4 linked regions of the Diceros bicornis minor genome follow. The protein of the gene in region 1 binds, or shares a complex with, the protein of each later gene. Links are inferred from orthologs where the notes say so. Each region holds a gene or a part of one and is shown on either strand. Other genes may lie near its edges. The genes, in order: GNAI3, RGS10, RGS8 and TRPC5.

The links.
Region 2: the proteins of GNAI3 (region 1) and RGS10 are in contact, whole or in part, in a crystal structure (PDB 2IHB), measured with the Homo sapiens proteins. The link is inferred for Diceros bicornis minor from reciprocal best matches to the Homo sapiens genes GNAI3 and RGS10. Residues at the interface, in NP_006487.1 of Homo sapiens: Val71, Val72, Ser75, Glu115, Val179, Lys180, Thr181, Thr182, Gly183, Ile184, Val185, Gln204, Ser206, Glu207, Lys209, Lys210, His213, Ala235, Glu236; in NP_001005339.1 of Homo sapiens: Glu62, Phe63, Ser64, Glu66, Asn67, Ala102, Ser103, Ser104, Gln105, Val106, Asn107, Val108, Glu109, Gly110, Leu137, Lys139, Tyr140, Asp141, Ser142, Arg145.
Region 3: the proteins of GNAI3 (region 1) and RGS8 are in contact, whole or in part, in a crystal structure (PDB 2ODE), measured with the Homo sapiens proteins. The link is inferred for Diceros bicornis minor from reciprocal best matches to the Homo sapiens genes GNAI3 and RGS8. Residues at the interface, in NP_006487.1 of Homo sapiens: Glu65, Gln68, Ser75, Val179, Lys180, Thr181, Thr182, Gly183, Ile184, Val185, Gln204, Ser206, Glu207, Lys209, Lys210, His213, Ala235, Glu236, Asp237, Glu238; in NP_001095920.1 of Homo sapiens: Thr76, Glu77, Phe78, Ser79, Glu81, Asn82, Ala117, Pro118, Glu120, Val121, Asn122, Ile123, Asp124, Phe125, Gln126, Arg128, Leu153, Lys156, Asp157, Ser158, Arg161, Arg164.
Region 4: the proteins of GNAI3 (region 1) and TRPC5 are in contact, whole or in part, in a cryo-EM structure (PDB 8GVX), measured with the Homo sapiens proteins. The link is inferred for Diceros bicornis minor from reciprocal best matches to the Homo sapiens genes GNAI3 and TRPC5. Residues at the interface, in NP_006487.1 of Homo sapiens: Arg205, Arg208, Lys209, Trp211, Ile212, His213, Phe215, Glu216, Glu245, Leu249, Ser252, Asn256, Lys257, Trp258, Arg312; in NP_036603.1 of Homo sapiens: Thr27, Glu32, Glu33, Glu56, Ile57, Tyr58, Tyr59, Asn60, Lys125, Pro128, Thr129, Leu130, Met131.

Annotation. Positions count from the first base shown.
Region 1 is NC_080743.1:42,585,589-42,592,683, forward strand, and holds the start of GNAI3 (guanine nucleotide-binding protein G(i) subunit alpha-3), read left to right. Parts: upstream 1-4,081; 5' UTR 4,082-4,183; coding exon 4,184-4,301; intron 4,302-7,095. UniProt on the Homo sapiens protein: Heterotrimeric guanine nucleotide-binding proteins (G proteins) function as transducers downstream of G protein-coupled receptors (GPCRs) in numerous signaling cascades.
Region 2 is NC_080745.1:82,339,688-82,347,569, forward strand, and holds the start of RGS10 (regulator of G-protein signaling 10), read right to left. Parts: upstream 3,007-7,882; 5' UTR 2,947-3,006; coding exon 2,898-2,946; intron 1-2,897. UniProt on the Homo sapiens protein: Regulates G protein-coupled receptor signaling cascades, including signaling downstream of the muscarinic acetylcholine receptor CHRM2.
Region 3 is NC_080743.1:84,725,598-84,733,466, reverse strand, and holds the start of RGS8 (regulator of G-protein signaling 8), read right to left. Parts: upstream 3,010-7,869; 5' UTR 2,917-3,009; coding exon 2,891-2,916; intron 170-2,890; coding exon 68-169; intron 1-67. UniProt on the Homo sapiens protein: Regulates G protein-coupled receptor signaling cascades, including signaling via muscarinic acetylcholine receptor CHRM2 and dopamine receptor DRD2.
Region 4 is NC_080781.1:103,842,877-103,850,819, reverse strand, and holds the start of TRPC5 (short transient receptor potential channel 5), read left to right. Parts: upstream 1-4,930; 5' UTR 4,931-4,944; coding exon 4,945-5,322; intron 5,323-7,943. UniProt on the Homo sapiens protein: Forms a receptor-activated non-selective calcium permeant cation channel. Mediates calcium-dependent phosphatidylserine externalization and apoptosis in neurons via its association with PLSCR1.

The sequences.
Region 1 (7,095 bases):
GCTGGAGGATACAGGGCAGCAGGCCAGGTTTGGAGTTATTCCGGGGCCCTTTAGGATATTTCCTTTTTCAGTATAATTGTCCAGGGAAATCATTGCACCCAAGCAAGGTAAGAAAATGACCCATGTCTTCTCATTTCCTTGCTAGGTTTAACAAGAACTAAATTATAGCCAAGTGTTTCCATTTGAGTTAATAGATCTTTTTTTTAGTTTTAGACCTGAGGTTTCCTTAAAGTGAGAGGACTAGGTATATTCCTCTCCTGAGTTTGACCAGAAGCAGGAGGAAATAGCAATCAGTGTGCATCGAGTAGAAGACAGGAAAGTTGACTACAGCTCTCTGTCTTCCGCCCTCAAGCTTGATCTCAGCAGAAGCAAGACTAAGACTGGATGGCTCTTTCTCCTTGTCTTTTAGGATGAAGAAGTGGAAAGATTGGGGGCTGAAGATAACTTTTTTTATTATAAAAAGTTATACTGATATCATTTAAATTGCTAAGGTGGTTGGATACAGACAGGCCAGGCAATCACCCTGACCAGTAATACTATAAATCTTTTTTTTTTTCTCCCTAGGACTGGCCTTCCTGATCTCTCTCCTCATGGCAGTGACCCACCTCCAGCCCCCTGGACAATCGGGTACAAGAGACTAAGGTTGGGAATGGGAAAGGTGGGGTTTCCATGGTTCATTAAATGCCTCCCTACTCCCATTCATCGCTCTCAAAATTAGCTTCAGTGACAAAGACTTAATCTCTCTCCTATCTGCAGCCCTGGGTTGGAGACAGGGCACAGGAGTTGGGCTCAGCTGTTCACTGATTGAGACTGTAGGAACTGTGTTGGTTGGTATCGGTGGTGGTATTTTCAAGGGAAGGGGAATAATTGCAAACTAGACAGGACATCCATCTGGGACTACCTGTCCATCCCACTTCCCTCAATTGAATCAGGTGACATTAAAGGGTTAAGGTAGGACCAGAGGGTGGTGTGGTCTGTATTTAAACAAATTCCTGGCTCATCGAGCATCTAAGGGGAAGATGTGCTGGTGGGAGTGGGATAGATTCCCTTTGAACAGCCAATAAATAATTTTTATTATAAAAAGTTATACTGATATCAACATTGACTCCTTCAGTTCAATTCAGTGCATAATAGTTGAATACCCAATATTCTCTGGCACTCACACAGAGGATGTAGAGTCACTGCCTTCAAGGAGTTCATAGTCTAATTTGATCAGGTACCTTGTATTTTTACATCTGGTAAAGCAGTACAGAATGTATTTGAGAAATATATTGGAGAATATGCTCTTGGTTCTCACTTCTGAGAGTTCAGTCCATTGCAGCAAGATACGTACATGGAGGCTTCCTGCAGATTGTGAAAAGTATGAGGGTTGTAAATGAAACTCTAGTTGAAGAAAAACAATTTATTAAATGAAACTTGGGCAAATAGCTTTCCCCCTTCAGATCTAGGAAAATTTCCAGGTGTCTGTCTTCCTACTCCTAGACTTACTCTAGTCTAAGGCCTATTACATTGAGGAAATCCCTTGGATAGTATACACTGAGGAGAGTCTCTTGTGATTGAAAAACATACTCTCTCCTCCCTTTTAAGATACACTCATAAGAGAGGAATCTCATTCCTGAACAGGGGGAGAACTCTTCTTCCAAACATCATTGATCAGCTAGTACGGCCTAAGCATTGCCAGCAGGTGGCAGTGTGAGTCCAGCGGAAACAGAAAAGGTGCGGTTCGTGGGGTGGGGGCTCTAAACATTGCCTGGCAGCCATTTTGTTAATTTATTTTGCCTTTTCCTTTGACTTTGCCCTCCAACCCTTCCTTCACATACATCAAAGAAGAAAATTTTAAGTGCAAGGATATCTCTAATTCAGGCTGAAATTTCCTGACACTGTGATCTCACTGGAGTTTATTACAGAATTTGACATACGCTGGTTCATTTGCCCTTTCTTTTTCCCTGAGTGGATCATGAAGGAAATAAAAATTTCTTTTTTATTATGCTGAGAACTTTCCCAACAATTTCTGTCATGACCACCTTCCAGGAGTTTTCTAGTTACCAGGATTGCTTGGTAAAGTTCAAGATGTAATCCTTAGCTGTGAAAGCTGTTCCTGGACAAATTTTGACCTCTCTCATCCACTGAAGAATCAACAGGTTGAGACAACCGTTCCATCACTTTTTGCTGCACCCTAGTGGTGCTGGGGTAACTTTCAATCCTAGATGAAAACCTTCTGTTGTCAGGTCTCCCCAGGTAACATCTTAAAGTGGAATGGTAGAAAAGGGGTGAATTTGGAGTCAGATCCACTTACTCACTGTGTGAACTTGGGAAAGATGCTTAATTTCTCTGAGCCTATTTCCTCATCTGTAAAAATGGGGATAACATTACCTACCTCACAGGGTTGTTGTGAGGATTAAGAGATGACACGTGGAAGCATCTAGCCATACCTGGCAAATAGGAACTCAATAAATATTGGTTTTTCTTCCCTTTCCTCTTGCCCTTTTTCCCCCACAAGTATTGATTATGGGAAAGAAGTCCCTTCTATTCTAACAGGTTTGGGAATGAGTAGACTTTTCAAACTTTGAAGAAAGGGCATTGATAAATTATGGTGGATGAGGCTGTTTAAGGTGGCTCTCAAGAAATCTAATTAATGAATCATCACCTTACACACCTTTCTGTTGCGACTTTACATTCTAAGGTTTAGATTCTATTAGGGAAATAATTTTTTTGTGTGTGTGAGGAAGATCAGCCCTGAGCTAACACCCATGCCAATCCTCCTCTTTTTGCTGAGGAAGACTGGCCCTGGGCTAACATCTGTGCCTATCTTCCTCCACTTTATATGGGATGCTGCCACAACATGGCCTGACAAGCAGTGCATTGGTGCACACCAGGGATGCAAACCTGGGCGGCCAGCAGCTGAGCGTGCGCACTTAACCGCTACGCCATGGGGCCAGCCTGGGGAAACAACTTTTAATCACAGGGAAAGGTTTTGGGGGCTACAAGAGGTACCCTCCCTAGAACGTATAGTGAGAGTATTTGTGGGGCTATGTGGCAGTCAAGGTAATTTAGGGCCACCTTCATGGTAGTACCCAGGATTATAAGTGAAAAAGGTTATCAGTCTGGGGCTTTTATGGGGGATTTATTAATTTTCAGGTGATGCTACAGCTGAGAGGCAAATTCTACTAGAACTTCCCTTTTTGGCTATCACAAAAGGAAATTTTATTAGGAGATTCACAGGATGCACTGGTTTGTTTTGAGGTGTGGGTCAGGGGTTGACTAACCTTGGTACGAATCCTAAGACCCTAACGCAGTACAATCTGTAAGCGCCCAAACTGCCTTATATCGGAGAAAGGCAGCATGGAAACTTTATGGAGGAACTACACGCTTCCCTTTCAGATAATCGAGTACGCTAGCGATTTCAAGTGGCCCTTTGCCAACACAGTAGCTAGGCACCTCTAAAGCCCACAGAAATTCGTATGAAACGGCCCGAGGACCAGGGTCCATTTTGAGAGCAGGAGGCAGTGGGCTAGAGAAGGCAGAAAGGGATCTGAAGTCCTAGGCATGGTCTTACAGATCTCAGATGCGAAGCGTGGCCGGGGCCCAGGCTTTGGAGTTTGTTCCCATCCCAGAGATCTGCCTGAAATGGCCCCGGCAGAGGAACTGTCCTACACTTGGGCAGGGGCCACGGGTCTCTAACGTTAGAGATCAAAGGGGCTTTCTCGCCAGTGAGAAATTCCCAGCAGAAATTCCCGCGCGGGCTGTGGGCTATTATTTGGGAATTCCTCCCACTCACGACCTCGCCACTCACGACCTCGGGAGGGGGTCATGAACTGGAGAAGGCAGTCCCTGGTTTTTCTACAGTTATTCAAATACAGCAGCCGAAAAGGTGAAAGGGGACTAAGGTCGAGCTCGACATGACCTGGCTACCCACGGCACTGCGGCTGAACCTCACCGTCCCTCTCCCCGTACTTCCGCTTCCTCTCGCGCCTCCTCTACCCCACCTAGAGAGGTTCAAGCAGTAACGGCCGAGGGGCGTTTCCGGAAGTGTCGTAAACACCGGATATCCGGTTCCTCCGGGAGCTCCGAAAGCTGACGGAGAGGGCCGCCGCCCAGTAGTAGGCTCTGTGTTAGCCAGCCGAGCTGCGGTTTCTGCGGGGTGTGAGTGAGTCCGGGCCCGGTCCCCTCTCCCGCCGCCGCCATGGGCTGCACGTTGAGCGCCGAAGACAAGGCGGCGGTGGAGCGGAGCAAGATGATCGACCGCAACTTGCGGGAGGACGGGGAGAAAGCGGCCAAAGAAGTGAAGCTCCTGCTACTCGGTGAGGGGCTGGGGGCGGGGCTGGCGGGGTCATCGCGAGGGCCTAGGCACTTGGGAGCCCAGAGCGGGGTCAGGCCGGGCTGGCGGAAAGGACCCCGCAGGGATCTGGAGGGCGTGACGGGCATGGGGCGGGGTGTTGGGTAGGTGGCTGAGGCCCCGGAGGGCGTCATGAGGAGGTGGGGTTTTGGGGTTGTAGGAATTAGGCTGGAGAGAGGGTGTGACTCTGTGCTGAAATTGTGTTTACCGAAGAGAGCTTGGCAGCGTGGGGCAGTAGGACGTTGAGACTGTGTTAGGAATATGGGAAAAGCTCATAAAGGAAAAGCCGATATTAGGGACGGTTTTGCAAGGGGTTGGAGTGCGTTGGTAGCAAGCAGGACGGGGTAGTGTGTTGGGCTTGTATAATGGCTTTTGAGTTTGGAGCGTAGTGCTACTTTATGACAGGATAGAGCTGGGAGGCTTGGATGATTAATGTAAATAGAGAGAGGGGCTGAGACAGAGTGGTCACATAAGGACCCTGTCATTTATTAGAGAGTGGGCATTTTGAACTCTGGGTGAGCTGGAGGAACCCTGGATTTTCCAGGAACATGCAAGTGTGTGGTTGAGATAATGACACGTTCTCATGTATAAAGGAAAAGAGCTTGGGTGCAGAGGCTGTCTGTACTTTTCCAGCTGTTTCTGTAATTTTTGTTCTCTTAAAGTTTTGTAATGCCTTCCCTTGTTTTTATAAAGGAGGAGATGGTGTGAGTTGAGGAAATTTGAGAACTGGCTTGTTTGAGGTTTGTGGCAAAAGGCGTAGTGGACAATAGATTACATATTGGGAGTTGCTGAATAGTTGCTAGGGATGATGTGCTGTGGAAATGGAGTTATCTTAGGATAAATTATGGAATTGGACATATTTACTTTAAAAGCTGTGACAGACTTCTGGTGAACTGTTTTATCTTTTTTGGTCTCTTCAAACTAAAAACATTGGCTTTAGGAATTACTATTTTTTTTACCTGACATTTGTTTTAAGTAGCTTTTACGTACAGTCAGATGCATTTTACTCAGCATGATTAGTTTTAAAATTTTTGTGAGACTGGCTTCTGGAGGCTCAGTTAATCATGTAAAGTACCTAGGCATCCACTTACCAATAAATAAATCAAGCCACATTTCTTTACTATGAGTATTTTCTAGGGATCTTTAGAGGAGAATAAGTAGGAGTAAATGGTTTCTGCAAGCAATAGAACTTTACTTTTTAGAACAATTGACTTTTGAGAAAAAGAAGTCACTTTAGGAGAAGTGCTAGATTTTCATGGTGTAAAACTCCAGAGGACAGAATGTGCCACCATAACCCAAGACTTATCTTGTACTCCAGGATGTGTGGGGTGCCTGTGCTAGTCTCTTCATGATAACATGTTTGGTGGTTTGTAGATTGCAGAAACCCTGGTAACAGCTTTTTGGATATAGGGGGAAGGTTATGTATTGGAGCTTGGGCTCCAGTTTGAATACATGATCTTTCAGAATGCATGAATTTAAATTGTAGTTCTAGATTGCCACTCTCTATGTAGCAGGTATCATTTGTGGATGAGCATGGTCCCTGGCACGTAGTAGATGCTCCTTAAATATTGACTGTCAACCAGCATGAGCCGGCTAATGTTGGATGTTGCTCTTTGGGGGCTTTCAGATGTTTGATGTAAACCATAATATGTACTCAAGGCATTAGCATTGTCTATATTGAGATTGGTTATGAAATTGAAGGTATGTTTTCATCCTTTGTGAGTGTTTTGATTTACATTGACTGTCAGAGATCCCCTCAGGACATTAGCCTATTGTAATATAGTTGTAAACTGTGAGGCTTTCTTCCAAATGGCGGGATTTGGCTGGCAGAACCTATACAAGCAGAACTTGTCCAAATGTCTAGAAAAATCTTTGTTCAGGACTTTTTAAGTAGTGCATTTAATTAAAAACAAAATTAAACACATGATGACCTGGGGAACTTCAAAAGCAGTAAGTAAAAATCCAAGTACTAAAGCATTTGCTTTTAATTGTTATCAATTTCGTTGTTTTAAGAAAGATTTTTTTATGTTCTTGAGCAAGTTAAATCAACAGCTTCAAATAGGTTGCAGAGACAGATGCTCTTGCTTGAACCATATCATAATGCACATATGAAATTAAAATTATCTTCCTTTTTCTATAAGCAAAATGCATACATCACAGTATGTAAGTAATTTTTTTTTTGCTGTAGAATACCCCTTTTGATGTATATGTAAGTCATTTTTACTTCATCACTGAAACTATCAAACTTAGTCTAAGTTGAGAACTGTTTACTTACCCTTGTCTCTCCTGGCACGTAATAGGTGTTCATTAAATCTTACTGTATTTTCTTCCTTGCAGGGATGTAGTATGGCATAATGATTAACCATATGGGTTCTGAAGTCAGACTGTTTTACATTCTAATTCTCATTTATCAGCTATAACCTTGGGAAAGTTATTTACTCAGTTTTTCTCTGCCTCGGTTTCCTCATCTTCAAAATGGAGAAAATAAAGGTACTTTCATAGGATTGCTGTGAGGATTAAATATGATAATAAAGTAGAACACAGCCTGGCACGTAGTATTAGCTCAATGAATATTAACTATTATTGTTATTATTAAATCAAAATGAACGTTACAGATTCTGGGGCCAGCCCGGTGGCGTAGTGGTTAAGTGCGGGCACACAGCTTCTGGGGCCTGGGGTTCACAGGTTCGGATCCCAGGCGTGGACCAACCTACCACGTGTCAAGCCATGCTGTGGTGGCGTCCCATATAAAGTAGAGG
Region 2 (7,882 bases), on another chromosome or scaffold:
GTCTGCCTGGCAGGGCAGGGATTCCCCCAGTGGGTCGCCCCTCGGTCTGGTCGCAGGTGGTGGAGGGCTGTGGCTGTGGCTCTGCTTTCAAGTGAGCAGCATCCCACTTACCATCAACAGTGCAAGTTGCTGTCAGGGGCAGGACGGGGGGCAGAATCCGTCGAGGGTTCCTCAGAATTCGGTGTCATAAGGATCAACTGGGGCATTGTTGAAAACGCAGCCTACTCTCCCTCCCCACCTGGGTCCCCAAGACTGAATCAGTGGGTCTGAGGTGTGGCCTGGAAAGCTGCATTTTATCAAGCTCCTCCCCCCTGCCATGTGGTTTGTGAACACACTTTGAGAAACCTCAGAAAGGAAAATAAGGAAATTGTACTTAGAACCGTGGAATTAGGGGTTAGGAACTCCAAACCCTCCGCTTACAGACACTGTCTCCTGTAAGATGTTGCTTAGAAGCAGGAAAGGTCTAGAAAGAAAGGTGCTAGGAGGCAGGACTGTAGCCAGGTCCAAATCAGAGGTCCTGCAATGGCAGACCCAGCTTATCCAATTTAGAGAGCCTCTTTAAGAAAACTAATTCAAAATTACCACACACAAAAAAAATTCAGTAGAGGGTCCCGTGGATTACTTGGCTGGCTTCCCAGGGCCTCCGCCTAGGGGCCACATACCCCTTTCTCACTGGGCTTCTTTTCCTGCTGCCGAGTGGTGATGACCAAATGGCAGGGGATCATTTGTCCTGTCCCACCAGAGGGGCAGACTTTAAACCTAAAAATTCTAAAGAAATCGGGCTCTTGGAGGCCAGGCATCCAATACCAATCGACAATGTTTATCTACCCACCTTTCTATCAGCAACTTCCCCACGTTTCAGCAGGCTTAAAAATTGCTGCCCTGGAAGAGGTGCACTCCCTAAAACTGGCCCAGCAACCTGTCTACATGCAACAACACCCCAAAACATGTATATCCCATAATCCAGTTGTTCTATTTGGAAGACTTCAACCTCAAAATGATCCAAAGCAATGAATAACTAATGCAGAGAAGTTCACAGCAGCTCTGTTTATAATAGGAAAAGGGGGAAAAGATAACAGCTAACTATTATTACTCATTTATTATGTGCCAGGCATTGTACTAGGGACTTCAGATGTTTTAGCGTACTTAATCCCACAACTCTACGAAACCCACGTTACAAATGGGAAAACACATGCAAAGGTGTGGTGGTAAACGGGCTCTCCTAAGAGGGAAAACCCTTGATTTTAAGCATTTGCTGATTTCCATGGTATAAATATTCACCAACAGTCAATTTCAAATGATCTATGATTTAGCAACCAGCTCCCAAATTTCCCAATAATTTAGCACTTGGCTCAGAGGTCAAGTAACTTGCCCAAAGTCGCTGAATGACAGTCAGGGTGGGAACCAGGAGTTTAACTCCAGAGTCCTGGGTCTGACCACCGCTCCATGGGCCTACGAATATCCAACAACAGGGAATGGCTACAATGCACACCCACAGGGGAATCCTTTGACCCACAGGCGACACGGCAAGGTTTACATGCCCACTAACATCAATACAAGTTCTTTACGATAACCCTATGAGATCTTACTTTATTACAGTTGAAACCCTACTTTATTAGAGTTGTCTTAAATATCAAATGTGATGATTTGCATAATTTGATGGATGGGAAAAACAGCGCCACTGAAGTGCTTAAAGAGGGGTAGCTATTTTATTCCCATTTTGCTGATCCTTAACTGCACACAGAGAGGTTCCACAGCCGGTAAGTGGTGGAGGCAGGATTCAGACCCAGCGAGTCTGGTTCCAGTCCATCCTCTTAACCACAAAGTCCCTCATAAAATATACTAGGTGAGAAAAGGACACAGACCAGCATGTACAGACTTTTAGTACTACGCAGGAGTGACTCCTGGAGTGGGAGGCGGCACAAATGCCTCTGGACTCCAGAGTCAGGCCAACTCGGGTTTCAAAGATTCTCCACCACCTCTCAAGTGTGACTTGCAGCAAGTTACCCAACAGCTCCTGGCTTCAGGTCCCTCCTCTGGAAAGTGACGATAACAATACCCATCTCACAGGGTTGTCATAGGAGTGAAGAGAGAATTCACAGAACCTGGTGAACACAGACCCGGGCCCACATTAAGCACTCAAAGGGGCGTAGCTATTATTATGAACAAAAAGGGTAAGATGGTTGGAATCAAGTGCATGATTTCTTCTTCACCGTGGGTTCTTTGTCCTATCAAATTGCTCCAAATTGTGGCTCAGGCTGGTCCACTGTGACAGCCAAGCCGAATCTTTTGTAATGTCTGCGGGCGCCTTCCCTGGTGTGAACCACTTCTCCACCCTGGTGTTCACCCTCCTTCGCGGCCCCACACTTCGGCTCCGCCGCGCAGAACTGAAAGCGCCCGGCACCCCAGGCCGGGCTGCAGTCGGGTGCGCGGGGTCCAGCCGTGCCTCCTCCGGGCGCCGCGCGGGCATCATTCGCACCAGCGCCCGCAGCGGAGGCAGAGAACTCCAGAAGCCGGGGACGCCGCGCGACGTTCTGCTTTCGGAATCTAGAGCACATACTACCTCCAAAGTTTGGGGCTGTTTTGGATCTCCTTTTTCTCCCAGATCATCACTAAAAAGAAAACTACTGTTGCTTCCCCTTTCGGCCAAACTTCCTCCCCGGGGTGCCTCTCCGGGCTCTGCGCTCCCGCCGCGGCTGGGACCAAAGGGACGCTGGACCAGGCGGAGAGAAGTGGCGCGGTCAGCTGGGGCTCCCGTCCGGGCGGCATCGCCAAGCCGCGCCCGAGCCCAGGAGGGAGGGAAAGATGCCCCCGGTGGGCAGCGCCCGCCTGGGCTGCTCCTCGCGGTCCCTCGGGGAGCCCCGACACCCAGCCCACGGGCCCCGGGAGCCGCTTACCTGACGGCGGCCGCTTCCTGCTCAGCCGGCTCACCGCGCGGTTAAACATCGCCGCGGGCGCCCGGGGGTGGAAGGAGGAGCACCCGGGCGGTGCAGCGGCTGAGCTGGAGGAAGGCGAGGAGGAGGAGGCCCAGGAGGAGGAACCGGCTCAGCACCGCCCCGGCGCGCCCGGCCCCCGCCCCGCCGCGCTCCTCCCCGCCAGGCGCCGCGTGGCGCGCTCGGTGCGCCCTGCCTGCTCGCCCACGCGCCCCGGCGTGGGCCCCACGGTCCCCCCCTGGGGTACCCGGGCGGGCTGGGGCAGACCCGGTGACTCCCAAACGCCAGGACCCGGCCCGGCGCCCTGGAGGGAGCGCATTCGCCCGGAGGGAGCCCACGCCGCCCGGGATTTAGGAACCCTGCTCCCGGCGGTTCGCGCGTCCCGGGGCCCCCTCGCCGCTCTGCGCGGCTCGCCCAAGAAGCTGCCCTGGGCCCCACCCCGCCCAGCTCCCGACTCCAGCGCCCATCCCAGTCTCCCGCCCTCTCCCTGCAACCCCGAAAAACGGGCAGGGCGCCCCGCGCTTCATGGCTCCACGCGCCTTCGCGGGGGCGGCAGGCGGGAGTCACCTCAGGCCTCGCGGTTCTGCAAAACCTGGGCGCGGCCCATGGCCTTCGTCTCCGCGCGCCAGGCCCTGACCGCCCCGCGACTCCGTGGGCGCTGGGCCTCCCCATGGCCGCGATTGCCAGTGGGGCGTCGCCGGGGCCCCGGCCGCGGTGCCCGCGCGCGGAGCAGGCCGAGCCGCCGCGGGTGGGCGCCCTCCCCCGGGCCGCGCTGCGCGGGCGCCGGAACTTCGGCGCCTTCTCCCCTTGGCCTTGAGGCTCCAGAGGCGGACCTCGGGGGAATTCTGCAGGAACCTCTTGGGTTCCAGCGCGGAGGGATGCCTCTGCCCAGCACACGGGTTGGTCGAGGACACTTCTCTAACTTTGGGGACACGTGGCGCACGTTCCGGCAGGGCCTTTGCGCGCAACGCTCGGAATCACTCAGGTCAGCTCTGCGCTCTTGTTCTGATTTCACCTCTCCCACCGCCAGTCACCTGCTCAGCGCCGCGCGCTCCTCTCTAACCTGTTACCTCATTTCTTCTGCAAAACAGCTCAAGAGGGGTGTCATTAGCCCCATATTCTTGAGCATTTGGTTTGCAAGGAATTGTCTTTCTGGCGAGTCTTTTTCTCCTTGTGTATCTGGCTTTGTCTCTAAATTGGCCTTTATTTTTAGCTGTACTAATTGCTATTTACCGTTCCCCAGTTGTCGGCCCCCTTTCACCCATCCTTTTGCAGTATTTTCACTAGTTGGCACTTTTTTTATGTCTTCTCTTCTGAGCTTCCCGTTCTGCTAATTTTTCCTCCCTCCCTCTACTCACCCCCTCGGTCCCAGTTCCACCCCGTCGCCGGCCTTCTATGGTTGCTTCTGGTTTCTCTCTCTACTTTTCCCCTCCGAGTATTTCTAAGCGCTCTCCCCCTCTGCTACCGGGAGCGGCTTTTCTGGCTCGTGAAGGTTACAGGGGTTTTCAGCTGCAATTCGAGGAGACCACGGTGACCAGGAACCGCTTTTTTAAAAAGCTCAATTTTAAAAACCTCTCCCGTGGTTGGCCTCCTCCGGGCGTGGGCTCCCCGCAAGCTTCCACTCCGTTGTAAAGGGGCAGGGCTGCGATACTTCAGCTACAGGCAGCAAGAGCAGAACTTTTAAACTCTGGATGCAAGTGAGGTCGCTGCATTCTCATAACAATAACAAGGGAATTTGTGCAACACACCTCCCCAGAAAACTTCTCCGGAAACCAAATTACAAGTAATCTAACACAGGAAATAAGGAGACGCGCACAGTGGGTAAAGTTGGGCGTAGCTAAAGGTTACTCCAGTTGCCGGGTCCACCCCCGCAGTGTCCTGAAAAACCCGGGAGTGGCCTAGGACATGCTTATGAATCCCTCTTGAGCTACGAAGGCAGCCAGGCCGTTCTGAAATGAAGGAAAACAGAACAGCTTCAAATCACTTTTACTGTCCTGTTGGCATATCAGATGCTGAGTACAAAAATAAAGACCCATGGTTAAAGTTTAATGTACACAGTTTCAAATTTTTGTTTCAGGAAATTTTTGTTTCCAGACGTTACAAGACCGTCTTCAGAGTTCCTAAAGCTTGCCAAAAGAAAACACACAGACACACACACACACTTAAAGTTCTGCCTGTGGTTTGCAGATGGGCTAAACGTGCTTGCCATCCAAATAGCATCATTCACTTTCTGCAGCTCATCTCAAGCCTTCACTAACAATGGTAGCCCATCTGGGCAAGAAGAGGACAAGCAGTTTGGCCCCTTCCTTACCTCTGGTAGTCTCACCTTTCATTAACAACCTTCATTCAGACCAGACGAGGAACAAGAGCCTAGGATGTCTTCTGGTAGAGCAGAATTTCAGAGTGATCGTTGACTTTAGAGTTCAGTATTTTTTATTCTATTCAGAAACTTTAAAAATTTAATAAGCTGTGAATATATTATAGTTTCTTATAATAAAATGTATTATGTAAAATATATTTTAGAGACTCTTATAAAGAATATTCTAGGCTATTTGAGGCAGGTGAGGTATATAGTAAAATAAGTAAATAAATAAGTGCCTGACTTGGACTCAAGAGACCTGGCAATCCTAGCCATATAGCAGACCAGCTGTGTGTCCTTAAACACAGCCTCACAGGATTGGACAAGGAAAGGATGACACCTCCATTCTAAGGGTGTGTGCTAGCTAGCAATAAACAAGGGAGTGCCCGGCACAGTGCCAGCACATGTAGGCACACAAAAATGTACTGGAATCTAATTACTCTTACTCCCCTTACACTGCTGTTTCAATAAACTTTAGCCTATACACCTTGAAAAGCCACGTTTTTAAAAGAAATTATATGAAGTTGGCAGGGTTAGTAACAGTGTTGCAACTGACAGTGAAGGGAGGAAAGTCAATTGTTACAACTTGTCTGAAAGGCAAGAGAGAAGATGTGGTAAGATGCATATTTGGCAACATGTATAAGAGCCTTCAAAATGTTTATATCTATTGGACCAGTGAATAATTCTACAACTGGTAATTTATGCCAAAGAAATAATAAGAGATGCACAGATTTATGTGTAAAGTTGAATATCATAACACTTGTTTTATCAGTGCTATTTATAGTAGCTATAAATGCTCATTAGTGGAATGACTAAATTACAGTATATTCCTATGATAGAACATTTAACAGTTGTAAGAACTGTGTGAAGAATATTTGATGATGAAGGAACATGCTTATGATGAAATTTTCATTTTAAAAATCAGGACATAAATATAGAGAAAATGTCCAATGGGAGAGGGGAGGAAATATAGTAGATTCATGTATAGAAAGCTTATGGGAAACTATACCAAAATGTTACCAGTATTTATCTCTAGATGATGGGACAATGGGTAATTTTAAACTTTTATTATTATATTTTCCTGTTTTGCAAAATTTCTGCAGTGTATATGCTGTTAAATTGGGGGGAAATCAGTAGTTGGAAACTGGTCAAAATCTCTACTGGGTTTAATCCACAAATATTTAAGCCCACGTTTTTACAACATTTAGTTTTGCTTTCTTTAAACTCTTAATTTCCCATGGAAGCAGCAAGCAGACACCAACTGCTTTTCCCATCTTTGATCTCCCTTGCATTTCAAGTCACACATTCACGGCATATCACAGCTGGAGGGATCCTGGGAGATCAGCATATTGTGCTGCAGATCAGGAAAATGAGGCCCAGATAGCTTTAGCTGGGATGTGACACTAGGTTTCCTGAGTGGTAGGCAGGTGTTCTTCCTGGTATAGCCCTCTCTATCTTGTGCTGTGCTGCATCCATGAAGATGAACCTAAAAAGGAAGAAATTTATGTACATTTAAGATTCTAATTGGGAACAGGGCAGATTAATTTTATCAGCAAGCAGTCATACCTGTATTTCTCCAATCTCAAAACCAAAATAAAACTCCTCTATTGCCCTATTTCACTACAGCACTTTTCAGCAAAGTGCCTCAAATGAGTTGTCTGTACTCACTGTCTTCCATTCATCTCCATCCACTCTCCTAAACCCTCTCCGGTTTGACTTTCAACTCCACCACCCCACTAACCTGCTCTTGTAAGGTCACAATGACTTCCACCTTGGAAAATCTACGGTTAGTTCCATCTCCATCTTACTTGACCCACTGTCAGCATCTGACCCTGTCGATCCCTCCCTCCCTCTTGAACCACTTTCTTTCTTTGACTTCCAGAACACCACGCTCTCCTAGTTTTTCTTCTGCTACATTTGCTGTTCACACTGACACCTTTCCTTCCTCTTTTGGTGAGGAAGATTGGCCCTGAGCTAACATCTGTTGCCAATCTTCCTCTATTTTGTATATGGGTCGCTGCCACAGCATGGCTTGATGAGCAGTCTGTAGGTCCGTGCCTGGGATCCGAACCCATGGACCCCAGGCCACTGAAGCAGAGTGCATGAACTTAACTACTATGCCACTGGACTGGCCCCTCTCATTCCTTTTAAAGGTGGGCACTGTACTCTTAGTCTTTGGATCTCTTTTCTCTTGCACACTTACTCTCTTGACCATCTCATCAAGTCTCATGGCTTTTAATACCATTTTTTTAAAAAAAATATTTATTTATTTATTTTGTGAGGAAGATCAGCCCTGAGCTAACATCCATGCTAATCCTCCTCTTTTTACTGAGGAAGACTGGCTCTGAGCTAACATCTATTGCCAATCCTCCTCTTTTTTTTCCCCAAAGCCCCAGTAGATAGTTGTACGTCATAGTTGCACATCCTTCTAGTTGCTGTATGTGGGACGCGGCCTCAGCATGGCCGGAGAAGCGGAGTGTCGGTGCGCGCCCGGATCCGAACCCCGGGCCGCCAGTAGCGGAGCGCGCGCATGTAACCACTAAGCCATGGGGCCGGCCCAAGACTTTATTTTTTAGAGCAGTTTTAGGTT
Region 3 (7,869 bases), about 42 Mb from region 1:
TTCTATAGCCCCACAGTAGCACCCCATGGTGGGTACCCCAGGAATGCCATGTGGCCACACTACTCACTTTAGAGCACGGTTGGGTTTGTCGGGAAGAATAGCTGTGAAATCACTACAGGAGTCTGACTTGTGTGACAGGCATCCCAGTCGAGTCCTCATCCCTTTGTTCCTGCAACAAGCACAGGGGCAGAAGGATGGGGAATGTCGTGATCACAGCTGTCAGCTCTATAATGGGCCCCTGGAGCTGCTGCTGCCAGAGCCAGCACTGCTTACCCCCCGTCCTTCTCCAGGTGGCCCCTGAAGATTTCATGAACAAGAGGAGAAACACCTAGAAGATCAAGGGATACACTCATTCCCTATCTTGACTCCCGGAATAGTAATAGGTACCCTACCCCTAGAGGCTTAATGCTTTTTAAAGCTGACATGGCAAGTTGATGGTAAGTCATTGAAGGTCGTTAGCTTGGAAGAATTTCTAAATTAGGATTCTCTGTAGGGAAAGGAAATACAGTGATGACAAAATAACAATCTACATTTTGTTCTCCCACTAGGAGGGCAAAGCAGCAGCAGCTCCTGATTGCAAAGCCCCAGAAGTAGGACCCACGCAGAGAGTAGGGGGTTTCCTGCATAAGACAGGGGTGCATTTCACAGAGTCTCAGAGCACAAAGTACGGGGCTTCAAGGCAGGTCAGTTCTGCCTCGGGTTCTCCCCACTCATCCTACAAACCTGGGGATATACCTGAATGGCTACAGACCAGCAAGGACCGATGACTGCAGGTGAGGAGAAGAGCAAGGTACAATCAGCAATTAAGAACCAGCGCCCCTTTTGGCAGTTCTTCTAGTCGCTTAACTAAGCCCTCGTATCCCTCTTTATATTTTGGCTTATCTCAATCAGCATGTTTAAAATTTTAACATGCATGTTTAAATTTCTCATATTTTTTTATTTTCCTAAGGACCAGACACTTGAATCTGTTGCGGAGGATCCAGTGAGAAATTATGCTAATGTCTATCTCTGACTCCCAACATTAGCCCTTTTTTACCTTTAATCAGAGACTGGCAAACTATAGCCTTGCAAGGTGCCTATTTGTGTAAATAAAGTTCAATTGGAACACAACACTCCCCATTTGTTTACATATTGTCCAAAGCTTCTTTCGAGCACAAGGGCAGAAGTTGGGTGGTTGCAACACAGACTGTATGGCCCATAAAGTTGAAAATGTTTACTCTCTGGCCTTTGACAGAAGTCTACTGACCCCTGACCTTCAACCATGACAACTCCTAGCATGGAGGGCAAAGGTAAGTGGGAGGGGGTTGTTATAATCAGATCAGGACTTAAGAGTGACTTATAAAAGGGGACTGCCACGTGCACACTGGTAACAATTTGGCATGGAAATAGTCGTAGAAGATGTCATTCTCCCTGTTGAAAGGAAGTCCTTCCAGCCTGGCTTTTCTTTCCTCTTTTTCACAAATCCCAGGCCTGGGCAGAGGCGTTAGAGGTCATCCAATTCAATCTCATTCTTTTACTTCAAATGGGTTTTCATCCCTGACCCTGGTAATTGTTCACAGAAATCTTATCTAACAGATGTCTACTGGGATGGTATTATATTTGGCGAGGCTAGACAGCATTTGTATTCCACAGTCCATCTCTGAGGAGTCTGCTAAGGCTGGAACACCCAAGTTCCCAGAAATATCACCTCTCCTGCAGAAAATTGGGCCTGCATGCCCTGTGCTCCCCACTCATCTCCGCCAGGCCCACTGTGAATCAGTTTTGTGGCATTTCAAAACATTGGCTTCAGCCGTTCTCTCCCCTGCGACAGTGAGCATCTTATGTCCACTCACTCTTACAAATCACAGGCTGCTCCGACACCAGGCCATGCAAACAACTGATTAAAGGCCCTTGAGTCATCACATTCCGTGAACCCAAGTAAAGGTCTTGCTAAGGCTGCACCACAGGCCAAAACCTAACTTTCAGTGAGTCAGTTCGATCATCGGTGCCTCAGGATCGTCAATCATAGAATAGTCAGGTTGATACCCCCAAAGAGCAATAAAGAGGATTTCAAAAAATGGCAACTCCAGGGGCCGCCCGGTGGCGCAGCGGTTAAGTGCGCGCGCTCCCCTGCGGCGGCCCGGGGTTCGCCGGTTCGGATCCCGAGCACGCACCGACGCACCACTTTTCAAGCCATGCTGTGGCAGTGTCCCATATAAAGTAGAGGAAGATGGGCATGGATGTTAGCCCAGGGCCAGTCTTCCTCAGCAAAAAAAGAGGAGGATTGGCAGGTGTTAGCTCAGGGCTGATCTTCCTCACACAAAAAAAAAAAAAAATGGCATACTCCACCCAAGCCATCTAACAAAGTTTGAGCAGGGGCCAGTGTAAAAGGTGCTGCTTTTTACCAAGACAACAGTGATTCTCCCAAATCTTAGCTAAATTCTTCCACAAAATAATCTTTGGGACAAAATGGTTTTGATTTGCCATCTTGTCTAGCCGTGACCTGAGCTATAACCTTTTAGTTAGGTCTGAAATAATGGGAGCAGAAGCAAGAGACAAAGGTTAAGTTTACAAAGAAAAAATACCTAGGCTCGCCCTCATTTCTTCGCTGTCCAGTAACTCATAGAGCTCCCTAAATGGCTCCATACAAGCTCATGCACTGTCCCACCCCGTAAGTCCCACCAGTCAATGGGAGGGCTTGGCGCTAAGGCAGGTCCTGCTTGCAAGGCCACAATTTTGCAAGATGCACCCAGGGAAGGCCAGTGCAGTCCACACAGGAGGCCTGGGGGATGGATGCAAGCGGACCACCCACCGGATTAGACGGCTTGGGCAGGATCAAACAGCAGGGGAGGTGGGAGGATGGAGAAGGAGGAAAGGCGCAGGCACAAGAAGACAGGTGAGCATCAGTTACCTGCGTGGCATCAGTAAAGCGGCCATACAGGCACCCGCTTACGGTTAACCCTCTGGCTGGTTTGCAGGGACGTCAGGGCGGGATAAGACTGCGGGGCACAGGGATTTACCCTTTCACGTCCTCTCACCTAAAATCAAAGAATCTGCTGTAAGAGGGGGCCACCCTCTCTTATCTAATGGGGCTACAAATCCTCTCAGACGGCTTTCCACCAAGTGAATACCTCCCCACACGCACCCCATTCCCCACAGACATCTGCTGGTCCTGAGCAAGGGGGACCAACCAAGGATGGACAAGAACAACTTGTCAGGTGGCTTCACATGGCTGCCTTTTGGTCAGGAGTTTCTATTTCCCAACCACTGGCCATCGACAGTATAGTGGGACATGTGCCCCAGGGGAGGAGGGCGTGGGCCTGGCTAGCCAAAAATTACTGCTCTCTTTGTCTTACTCCAGTGGGGCCCAAGTGACCAGCCAGCGGGGGGTGGGGGAGGGGTCAGCACTTGCTCCAGAATCATCTGATTGGCTGCTGTTCTGATTCTCACCTCCCTCCAAGGGAACCTGTCCTGGAGGTGGGAGTTCGAGGAGCCTTGGGAGGGCGTGAGCGGGAGGAAGGTTGGAGCAACTCCAAGGGAGCTTGTCAGGCACTGTCACCATACAGGCTTGCTCCTTTGCAGGGATGACAGGCACAGGCTGAATAAATGAATGTGCAAGTCACTCTTTCTTGCCCATATGGAGGCTGCCCGGCCTTCCTCAGCCTGCGGACTGGCCCATTCCTGACCGGAAGAAGGGAGGACACCAGGAGAGGGATGCTGAGGTTTAGGGCTGATTGACTCATCATCTCTCTCTCCTGAGGGTCCCATTCTCAGTGCTTCAAATGCTTTGTTCTCACAGAAGACCACCAATAGGAAGAAACATGTGAAGAGAGCAGCCTATACATAAAGGGTTCCCCTGGGGAACCCTGACACCGAACATAGAATCCATTTTAACAGAAACCTAATTTAGATGGATAAGGCCTCGATGTGGTCTACGCTGGTTAAATCATTTTGATATTACCTGGAACATTTCACAAATACTTTTTTAAATACCTGCTCTAATAATACCACAATTAATAAAATAAAAAGATGGCTTTGTTAAAACCAAAAAAAAATCCGTTAGACTTTATGTAAAGGCTCATTCCCAGGAGATGGAGCGTGGATCGGGCTCCCTGACAGCTGGGACACTTCTGTAATCTTTGTCTTAACTGTGCATACACCTGCTTGCCCAGAAGTCAGGAAATCAAAGCTCTTTACAGCTGTAAGGGTCTCTAGAAATCATTATTTTGGGCACCTAAGCCTCATTTTCTCTCTCTTGTGGGATATGCCCCAGAGGAGGGGGAGTCCGTGCCAGGGACCTTCATTACCCTGGAGCTGAGCAGAACCAGGGACTACTCTCCACATACACAGCAGGCAAGGTCATCTGGGGCGGTTATCACCCGGCCTCCTGTCACTGCCTTGTCGCTCTTCCCGTTCCACTGCTAGCCCACACCAGCAAGCTGGAGCGGCTTAGATGCCTGCCTCTCTCTCTTCCAAATCCAGCGCTGCCCACCGTGGCTTCCGGGACCCTCCACCGCCCCTTCAATTAGCTCAGCTTTGGAGTTGATTAAATAAGAACCTGCAGGCTTCTCTGACCCACCTTCCTCATTCATCCCAGCACCTCAGGGCTCTCATCCCACATGGCCCTTGACTTCTGGGGGACAGTGTTTGGGGTTACCCAGAGCCCAGGAAGGCTGAGGGTATGATTGTACCCACATTACACGTGCCCTGATAGGTGGACATCAAGTTACAGGTGACTCTGGGGCAGACAGGATGGGACAGAATGGAAAGAGAGGATACTCAAGGAAAAAACAAAGGTTAAAAGCAAAGAGCAAAGATGTATAAAGAGGGGAAGAGAAACTAAGAGCCTCAGCAGGGAGAAAGCAATCAATATGCAAGGAGAGGCAGGTTAATTAAATATGGATAATGCAATCAGCCCACACGGGCACCCCGGAGGGGAAAGAGACAAGCAAGAGCAATACTCACTGTCTTTGACCAGTCCTCATGGCCTGCGGGTCTTTGCCAACCAGATGGTCAGAGAGGCTGCGGGTTAAGGAGCTCTGGGGAAAGAGTAGATCTTTCTCTTAGCAGTCAAATCCTTGGCGGGTGAAGGGCATGTGTGCATGGACACACATGGACACACGCGCATACACACACATATATACACGCATGCATGCACAACACACCTCCCGCCACTTGAGCCGGGCAGCAAGCAGCCCCACTGAAAGCTCTGCTCTCTGATTGTCACATCCAGTAAATGCTGAAGCAGCCTACACCCAACGGGTGGCGGCTGAGCTCCGGGACACCGTCTGCACACCCATCCTCATTGGCAGGATGCAGGAGGTGCCCCTGAGCAGAGCTCGCCTGGCACTCCTCCCGCACCTTCCTCCCTGGCCTCACTAACCTGCTTCTATGCTCGTCTGGCTGCGGCTCAGGGAGAAGTCTCCACAGCCCGAAGCTGCCTCCCTCTGCACCCAGAGGCTGTGCAGGGGGCAGCAAAGCTGTAGGTATTAACTCTTTCCGGCCACCAATGACCTGAAAATCAAATGTCCAGGGGGCCTCTTCTAATGAGTTCTGCTGCTGGCCGAAGGCTGCTTGCTGTTCAGGGAGCAGGGAGCATAAAGATCTTGCCCCAGACAGCTGCTGACAGCAGGAGCCAAGCCGAATCAAATCTCCTAATGAGCCAGGAGGAGGGGGGCTGTCTTGCTGGGTGTGATGTGATGTGATAAATGCAGAGAGCAAGAACGCTATGGGGCAGGTCACACATCTAAATTCCACCCCCTTGCTCCCGATTTCTATTGTGCTGCGCTGCCAAGCTAAACCACACAGCCCTGAAATTACCCCCTTCTGCCACATCTCAGCTGTCCCTCTTACTCTCCAGAGGCATTTCTCCCCCAGCCCATCTCCACGCCCACCCCCCAGCACCAACCACACCACTCCTCACTTCTTAATGAGAAATTTCCACCTCCTCTGCCTCCCCAAACATGTATATTTCTAACTCTGCGCTCCTGGTTTTTCCTGCAGTGGAAATTCACCTCTCTTCATCATCCATCACCTAGCAACTTCCCCCTACTCGCATTTGTTACGGAATGAGACTTTTCCCTTTGTTCTGCCCAATCTGCACATTATCCCTATTTTTCTGTCTTCTACATTTTTTCTTCCAAGCCGCCTTACTCACATGGATCTTCACACTGCCTGTTTCAGTTCCAGAAGGAGGATTCTCTTCCTGCTTGCCCTAGTGCAGCGGTTCTCCGAGTGTGGTCCCTGGACCAGCAGCGGCAGCATCACCTGGAAATGTGTTAGAAATGCAAATTCTCAGGCCCCACCCCCAGACCTACAGAATCAGAAACTCTGGGGTTGGGGCCCAGCTTTCCAGGTGATTCTGATGCATGCTAAAGTTTGCAAACCACTGCCCTGGGATAAAGCTTGCCTTCTCCTCAATCCGCTCTAGGTCTCTAAGGCTGAGTCTCCTGCTCCCACTCAGGAACAAGTTCCAAAAGCACCTGACCTTTGCTGCAAGTCATTTCTGAAACCCAGAAGGCAGCACTTGCTAGAGGCAGCAGAAATCTCTGCGGAAAGTGATGGCTTCATAATAAAGATGTTAGATTCCATTTGGTTAACCTTCTACAATGTAGACAGCATTTTCGCATATTGTCACTCAACAACCCCACGCCACAGTCAGAGAGAGTATTATTATCCTCGTGTTACAGATGAGAAAACCAAGGCTAAAAAAGGTGACATGCTTTTTTCAAAGTGACACAACACGTAAGAGGAAGCTCAAGGACCAGAACTCGTTTTCTTATGACTCTTACAGCAGAGCTTTTTCTACTACGTCATGCCGGGACCCAGTCTTCCTGGCAGACCTATTGGTGCATAACCCGTATTCTCACGGTGAAGTGATTCTGCCGCAACCACACGTTGCCTGATGACAGGGATGACATAAAAATTCTGATGCTTCCTCCACAGTGACTCACTGTCTCTCTCTGAAATGTCCACAGTTCCCCTCTGTTAGGTAAAGGGAACTTAGTGTTATAAAATGAGATGCAAAAGAAACATATTCTATCCCTCATAATCCCTGTCTTGAAACCTGTTGCTAGCTGGGTTTAGAATTTCAGCATAAAGAGAATCCTTCATGTCTGGACATTTTCCTGGTACCATAAAAAACAGGTACACATATGAACTGGTGAAAAAAAGCCCGTCGATAAGCACTTCCCTAATCCAAGATAAGTTTGTACCATAAGGTAGATCCATCCCTGGATTCCATGCACATAGCTAATGTTTAATGAGCTCTGAGAAATGTGCCAGACACTATGATAAACGTTGCACTTGCCTTATCTCATTTAACTCTCACAGCAAACTCACTATGTCGACATCTTTACTATCCCCATTTTACAGATGGAAAAACAAAACAGGTCCTTTATAAGTAGCAGAGCTGGTGTCTGATACTAAACTTCGTGCTTCCAGTCTCTGCTCTGCCCCTCGCTTTAACGCAAAGGTATGTCATCAGTTGACTCCTCTGCTGGTGCTAAAATGGTGGGATAGAGGCCTCCTCCATGTCTCATGCTGCCCAGTCTGGCATCCAGGATTTAAAGGCACCGAGAAGAAAGGTCAGGGCTGCGGATGGGCCCACATCTCAAGTGCAAGCTGACCAATATTAATCAGGCTTCAGAATCTTCAGTCAGCCTTTAGAGAAACAATATAATCACAGAAAGTCAATAAGCCAACCCACTGTTTAAGGAAAGACATAATAATTAAGTTTAAAGGAAAGAATAGGAATGTAAAGAGAGAGGGACAAGAATGTGTGGACACGCATCTAGCATGAGTAAAAAGAGAAAATTAAAACTAGTCCAAACTTTTTTTACCAAACACGCCTAACCGCCAAGGAATAACCCCGCAGCACTCTAGTTTGAG
Region 4 (7,943 bases), on another chromosome or scaffold:
TACAAGTTTATGAGATTAAGTCTACTTGCCTTAAAGGGCTCTCAAGAGATAGACAAGTGGACAGATAAGCATGGATACGGGTGAGAGGTCACAAAGGTTTCACCATTCAAGCTCAATCCTCATGGCACAGAGTGCAAGCCATGCACAGATACCATGTTCCTCCAAAGGCACTATTTTTTTTTTAGTTAGGTGGAAAACTAGGCTTTCCTCCTCACAGACAAAGTCCTGAACTGGGCAGTGAGCTGGGCTGGGATTTGGCAAGACCACTTTGTGCCCTGACCTTCTGCCCAGCCCATTGATTTAGCTCTTTAAATTGCATCGTTTAAGCCCACACATGTCACAGATACCATTAGACAAACTCCTCTGGCTAGCAGCACAGAAAAGAGAGAACATGATAAGCCCCCTGAGGCAGTCTGTTAGACCATTCCTAATCTTTCATGCTTGGGGGACTACATTGGGAGTGGGGTTCACTCATAGAATGGCATGAAGTGCTGGCTGGTTTTGTTTTGTTCAGTTAAGAATACACCTCAAGGCCAGTGTATAATGATGGGAAAGCCAGCCTCATCTCTTGGCTTAGGTTAATGGCAGGTGAGTGCAATCTGCCAAGTTTAAAGGTAAAGGGTGATGGAAAGGAGCCTTCCCAATAATACATCCTCAAGAAAGGCCAGAAACTCCATCATTAGTTACTTATTCCCAGAATAATGGCAGAGTAGGACTAACAGCAAGCATATGGAGAAAGGATTGGTCCTAGAGCCTGCAGCAAGGCTGAGGCTAAAGCTGTGCGAGTCAAGTGGCACAAGCTGTGGGGAATGGAAGAGGGAAGGGCACTAGGCAAGTCATTAGATATCTACATAAGCCTACATCTAGACAGACAATGCAGGGAACCCCTTTTACATCACTCTCACTGTGTAATGTAGAGGTGTGCATGGATACATAAAAGAGATTTCCAAAGCTGGACATGAGGCCTCTCCTTTCCCCTCCATTACATCTTCCCTGTCCCTCTAGACACACATCTCTTTACACCCAAGGCCACAGCAACTTTCCAATGAAGGAATCTACATTAAGGTGTTACTAGCTGTTAGCCATGTGATTTATTATTCCTTCCAGGGGTAGTATTAGAGATGCAGTGCCTTAAAGCAAAGGAGTGACTCTCTAATAGTACAATCTCAGGCGAACCTCTGGAGGAGATATTTTTCTCTACAGGGGAATACAACGAGGCTTCTCATAACACAGCCCACTGGAAATGCAACAGACCAGATTCATTTCAAATGCAAGAGATAAAAAGTAAAACTAGACTCTGAATCAACTATATATCATCCAATTATACTTACTTCAAGTCTCAAATTACCATGATCTTACTGTCCTCTCTCTTTCACTACTATAACCCTCGCATCTGGCACATAGTGCGAGTTCAGTGAATGGTACTGCTTGTTGCCTTCATTATTATTACTATTAGAAGCAGCAGTAGTAAGCGTGCTGCCCCAGTACCTGGCACAGTGCCTAGGACATATCAAGCATTCAAAACTATAATAATTATTTTATTGCATCAGCTCCTGGCATAGTGCCTTGCACATAATAGGGCACCAATTGAGTTAGTTACCTTCGTTCTCACCTTTCCCTGTGATATATTTGTCTTCAGTTTCCCTCACAGCTGTGCCTTATTAAAGTGGGCACAGATCTTCCTGTAGCAATAATGCTCAGCCCAGCATCAACAGTGATACCATCTGAAAAGACATCTAGCCTTTTCTTCCATGGTAGCCTCTTAAATGGCAAATGGGCAGCAAATGTTTAAGATCATTTTTTTTATGAGGAAACTGAGGTTATAAGCTCTTGCCTTGGAACTTTAGCTCACCTCTAATCTTTGTATCCTATTATAGCCTGAAAAATATACCCCCCACCACTGTCTCCCAACTAGGCCATGATCAATCTCACTACTTTTGTTCTTGCACTCAGTAGTGCCTGGACTACTCTCACATTTTCACATTTAATTCATCTTCCAAGGACTGGCTTAAGAGCTACCTCCTCCGTGAAACCTTCTCTGAGACCTCCAGCCCTCACTGAGCTCTTTCTGAAATCCCAAAGCATCAAATCAGTACCACATAATTTAGCACTTCGTTCCACGACTGTGCCAACCCTCCTCAGCTAGATTATATTTGCTCATTAAACATCTATTTGTTGAGCACCTGTCGTGTTCTAGACCCTGTGTGAGTTCTAGGAAGGCAGGAATCAAGGTACTTCTACCCTAATGGAAGACAAATATGCAGTTGGGTGACATTGAAAAAATGTGATCCAAGTACCAGTGGAGAACTCAGAGGGAGATTGTCTAACTTTCTGACAGCATTGGGGGAAGGCTTAACAGAGAAGGGGACCTACAAGCAAACTCCTGAGAAGGAGTTTATTAAGTGGAAAGAATGGGATGAAGCCATGTACAAAGGCAACTCAGAGAACATGGATAGACTTAACTTAGTGTGACTAGAGCTAGACTAGACTAGAACTTAGGGTGGGATGGAGAGAGACGAGAAAATATCATGGAAGGTTTACTCATGCATTCAGCAAATACATATCAAGCATCCAGGGTGTGTCAGGAACTGGGCTAGGTGCAGGTGCTAGAAAAACAGAACAGATGCAATGCCTGCACTTGAGCTTTAAAGAGAATTGGACAAAACAGCCAATTACCCAGTAAGATGAAGAAATATGTAACTACAAATTGTGATAAACATTAAGAAGGAAGAGAAAAGAGTACAGTGGAGAGAAGAATATGAAGGAACTTCTCTGAAGAGGTGACATTTTGTTGAGGCTTGAAAGATGAAAAGAGCTGGAGAAGAGTGTTCCAGGCCATAATCAAAGGTCTTGAGGTGGAGAAAAGTTTTGCATGTCAGAAAATCAAAAGAAGCTCCATGGGCTAAAGAATAGTGGATGATGGAGAGCGTGGCTTAAGATGAGGTTGGAGAGGTAAACAAAAGCCAAGACCTAGTAGACCTCAGAAACGAGGGTTGATTTCATCACCAGAGCAGCAGGAAACTAACCAAGGAGGATTGAAATGTGATCAGATTTGTGTTTCACAGGATAACTTGGGGGTTCTGTGGGAGACGATCTGAAGGGGGAGAGAATGGAGTAAGGATGATTAACTGTGAGGCTGTGGAATGGTCCAGGTGAGAGACGATGAAGGCGGGGGTCTGTTCTTTCATATCCTCTAAAAGTGACTAGCATAGTGCTAGGCACACTGAAGGCTTCTGCTGTGTTCGTCTTTATTAAATAGATATAACGTGAATTGGGTTGTTGAGTGTCTCTTCAAGAGATTACACTCTCTCTTCTTCCTCTTCCCTTTTTGTTTATAATGGAGATGGGGAGGCAGGGAGGCAGTCTACAATTAGTATTATTAAAGTCATTTGCTGTTTAGTGACAAATGCTTGTTCTAAGTGCCCTTTTCCTTTAGCCACGCTGAGTTACTTGAAAGTAGCACAGGAAAATATCAGTGCTTCTCAAGACAGCAAAACAGTACCCTGGTCTCCTGAGATTTGGGTGCAGAGAGAAATTTGTCATTTGGGCCTGTTCAGGGCAAGAGGCAACACTCACCTTCAAATACTAACTTCCAGAAGATCACAAGCACATGAATTGCTAATGCCACTTGGTATAATATATGCTTCTCCCACTTCCAAAGCAGGGATGTAATTACCTGGAGGAGTGAGGCAAATGTTTGTGGAAGCTTCATGTCTCTATCTTCTCTTACATCCAGGAGATGAGACAAGAGGCCCTTTATCACATTTCCATTTCCTTTTGCTGGCAAAACAGTTGAGTAATGAAAGACACTTAAAAGAGTCCATCCAAACTCAGCTTCCAGAGCATCCTGGAGGGAAAGGGGGTTAATCACCTAATGAGTCTGAGCCTCATCTTCTCCCCTAACTAACAGGGTTAGTTCAAGGAGTCAGTGAGGAATGTGCATGCATTTGATCTGTAAACTACGATGCAAGAGCTCTATACTGTGATTCATTCTGTGCAATCGAAGGCAAAGACTGTATTTTTTTTCTTGGTCTCCCAGAGAAAATTAAACACATTTTAGAAACTCAATAATAGGTTTTACTTTAAAATCAATGCTATTAAAATCTGGCTTTAGATGTGGTGCATATAAAACAGACCATACACTTCTCAGAATTGAATCAAACAGATTCTCAGATCTGTCAGCTCCTTGGTTTGGAATGATGGAGGAAAAAATCATGAGTGGGCAGAGGGGTGCATGACTTTGGCCTATTGGAGCCAGTACTCCTTCCCCAGTGAGCAGCAGAAAGAAGCAGGGCTTCAGTTAGCACTAAAACAGGATTTCAGTCCAGGATCTGCATCTGGGAAAGCTGCAAATGTAATCCTGAAAATTAGCACAGGCCCACAGGCCCAAGGCCCAAAGGAAATTGGCCCAAGATGAACTTCAACTGTGCATCACCCATCAGAAGTATATCACAAGTATTTTCAGGTAGCAGAAGGGAAGGAAGGAACTAACTGGTGCCATGTCTCAGGAGGTTTACCCTGTGCCAGTTGCTTTGATAATGTATTCCTTCACTTAACTCTCACAATAGCTTTATGATGTAGAAATTATTCTTCAGCACAGGGCCTAGTACACAGTAAGCAATCACTAAGTGATAACTCCTGCTAACGGTATTAATATTGATAAACTTAATAAACTGAAGCACAGTGGGCTTGAGTAGCTTATCCAAGGTCACAGAGCTGGCAAAGCCAGGATTTGAGCCCAGGTCTTTCTGATCCAAAAGCCTGGGATTTTTCTGCTATACCCCTTTGCAAGAGGAGAAAGATTATGGCACTAAAACAGTTTAGGATTTTCCAACCCCTTAGCCAGGCTGCCTCCGTAAGTGGCCACTTGAGACCTTCAGATATCTAAGAATATCTTTGGCCTCCCTCTCTCTCCTCACTCAGGTTTCTAAATTGCTATGAACCATGGCCCAACTGTACTACAAAAAGGTCAACTACTCACCATACAGAGACCGCATCCCCTTGCAAATCGTGAGGGCTGAGACGGAGCTCTCTGCAGAGGAGAAGGCCTTCCTCAACGCTGTGGAGAAGGGGGACTACGCCACTGTGAAGCAGGCCCTACAAGAGGCGGAGATCTACTACAATGTCAACATCAACTGCATGGATCCATTGGGCCGGAGCGCCCTGCTCATTGCCATTGAGAACGAGAACTTGGAGATCATGGAGCTACTGCTGAACCATAGCGTATATGTAGGCGATGCATTGCTCTACGCCATCCGCAAGGAAGTAGTGGGTGCTGTGGAGCTTCTGCTCAGCTACAGGCGGCCCAGTGGAGAGAAGCAGGTAAGAGAAGTCCCTACAGGCTGGGAAATAACCAGGGACAACAGGGCACTAGGGTCACAAGCCTGGAAACTAGGGAAGGTTAGGTAGGCTAGAGTTGAGAAGCCCTATCATGGCAACCCTCTGCTTTCAAAAATAGCATCAGTAATCTCAGGTGATGTCCTAGAGCTACCCTGCATGGCCTACACTGAGTTTTACTCATTTGCCTTTTCCTTATTAGTATTTTCCCATATACATTCAATACTTAACAACCCAAAAGTATGCTCTCTGTTTCCAGAATATCCAAGTTCGTTCTACCCTCCCTACCCCCTGCTCTCTATCTTCATTTTCTTCCTCTACTCAAAGGTTACATTCTAGAAAAGGAGAGACCAAACACAGACCTGGGCTTCCTCCTTCTCGCCACCCTCTATCCTGAAGAAGGAGAGGCCTTTAAACTTCAGTGTGCCCTATGCAGATGCAGATAGATACAGGGACTCACATATTTTTCCAGTACCCAGCATGTGACTGCATTCCACCCCAAGATGTCCAGGTTTTTGCCTTTTTGATTTTCCTATCCTCCAAGGCACCTAGGTTTAATGCTGTGGAGTCATCTTTGAGTCCTTCCTCTCCCTTGCCTCTGTGTCCAATCCCCAAGCCATGTGGTTTCTTCCTTCCCCCTCTCTCTTACATGCTTCCTTTCCTCTCTAGCCCAGCTCCCACAACTCTGCCTCTGCTTCTCATTGTCTCTCTCCTAGATGAGTGACTCTCAAAGTGTGGTTCCTGGACCAGCAGCATTAACATCACCAGGGGAGCTTGTTAGAAATGCAAATGCAAATTCTTAGGCCTCACCACAGACTGACTGAATCAGAAACTCTGGGGGTGGGGCCCAGCAAGCTGTGTCTTAACACCCTCCAGGGGATTCTGATGCACACTCAGGTTTGAGAACCACTGTCCTAGACTGACATGAAAATCTTCTAACTGGACTCCCTGCGTCTAGCCTCTTTCTTTCTCTAAAGCCATCCTGAACAATGATGCTGTCTTATTCTTCCCAAAATAGCATAATAATCCTGTCATTCCTGTCCACCTTTTCAATGATTACAATGTCTCCTCGTTAGAAAAGAAACCAACTCATGAAGCCTAGCATTCAATACCCTTCATTAATAGTCTGTTCCAGTCCTGTCTCCCCCTAGTCCCTTCTAAACCCCTCAAGTCAGAGAGGTCTCTTCACTGTCTCTCTTCCTTTGGAGCATGGTAGAGGCACATAGTAGGGACAAAGAAAATATAGAGTCATCAAACATGGAATACTGCAGTATATTAAAAAGTAGAAATAGTACAAATCAAAACCAAAATTGCGAAGTATTTAGAAAATATTGGTAATGAAAACACTCAATATCAAATCTTACGGGATATGACCAAAGCTTGGTTTAAAGGGAATTTATAGCTTTAATATGTGCCTAGTTAAACAAAAATGAATGAAAATAAGATAAGTGACAACTCATAGACTAAGAATTAGAATTCATAGAGCAGAAAGCAAGACACTAGATTAAAAGTTCCTTGAGTAAAGAGCCTGAATCCCCCCATTCCCCATCAGCATTTAACACAGAGCCAAGAGAGGAGGGACCTTGTCTCTCGTTTTCACTGCTATATCCTAGCACTGGGAAAGTGCCTGCAATGTTACAGGCACTCAATAAATACCTTTTTTATGAATGAATAGTATGCAACTAGCACTGTGCTAAGTATCTTACATGACTTACCTCATTTAATCCTCCCAACAACTTTGTAGACACTATTTTTACCATCCCCATTGTACCAATAAGAAAAATTAAGTCACAGGATGGTTAATTGTCCAAGATCTCAATAAATGTCAGAGCCAGGATTCAAACTCAGGCAGCCTAACTCCTAAACCCACCCTCTTAACCACTTGGCTATACTGCTTCCCTGGCAGTCTGAGTAAGTTTTAGAATTCTCAGCATGGGAGTTCTGAGACAGGGTAGATCAGTGGAGGATGGATGAGCTCTCTGGAAAGGACAGGCCTACAGAATTTGGATGAACAGCAAAGCAGAGTGGTATAAACAGGTTCCCTTCTCAGTCCATGTCACTATCCCCATCAAAACTGATTTGTTCTGTGCCCCATTTCCCCAGAGCCCTGCTAAGTGCCTGAGTGATTTAATGTACTAAAATCTTAACTAAGGCTTAGCCAGCTACCCTGCTCCATGATGATCTTGCCCACCTCTGAGATTATGTAGCCATTGGCTCTACCCTTCACTTGACACCAATCACACACTACTATGTACTATTGGTCAGTCTTAGTTGTGTAAATGTCTGGTCTCTGTAACTAGATTGTTTCTTAAATGTGAGGCATAATCTAATGCCCAACTGTTTCCATGCTTCCCCCATCAGTACCTAACCCAGTGCCTCATATATAATGGGTTATATATAAATATTTGCTGATGAACAAGAACGTGCTGCTGCTGATGAGTTAAGTGTATCTCCCAGAAAAGCACATGGCTGATTGAACAAGACATCCTGGACATTCATATTCACTTCCATTTAGCTTCATAACTGTTTTGAAAGAGAAGTGAGGACAAGGGAGATTCCAAACAGGGGGCTAGCAATGCCAGCCCTATCTGAGTTTTGAAAGTAGG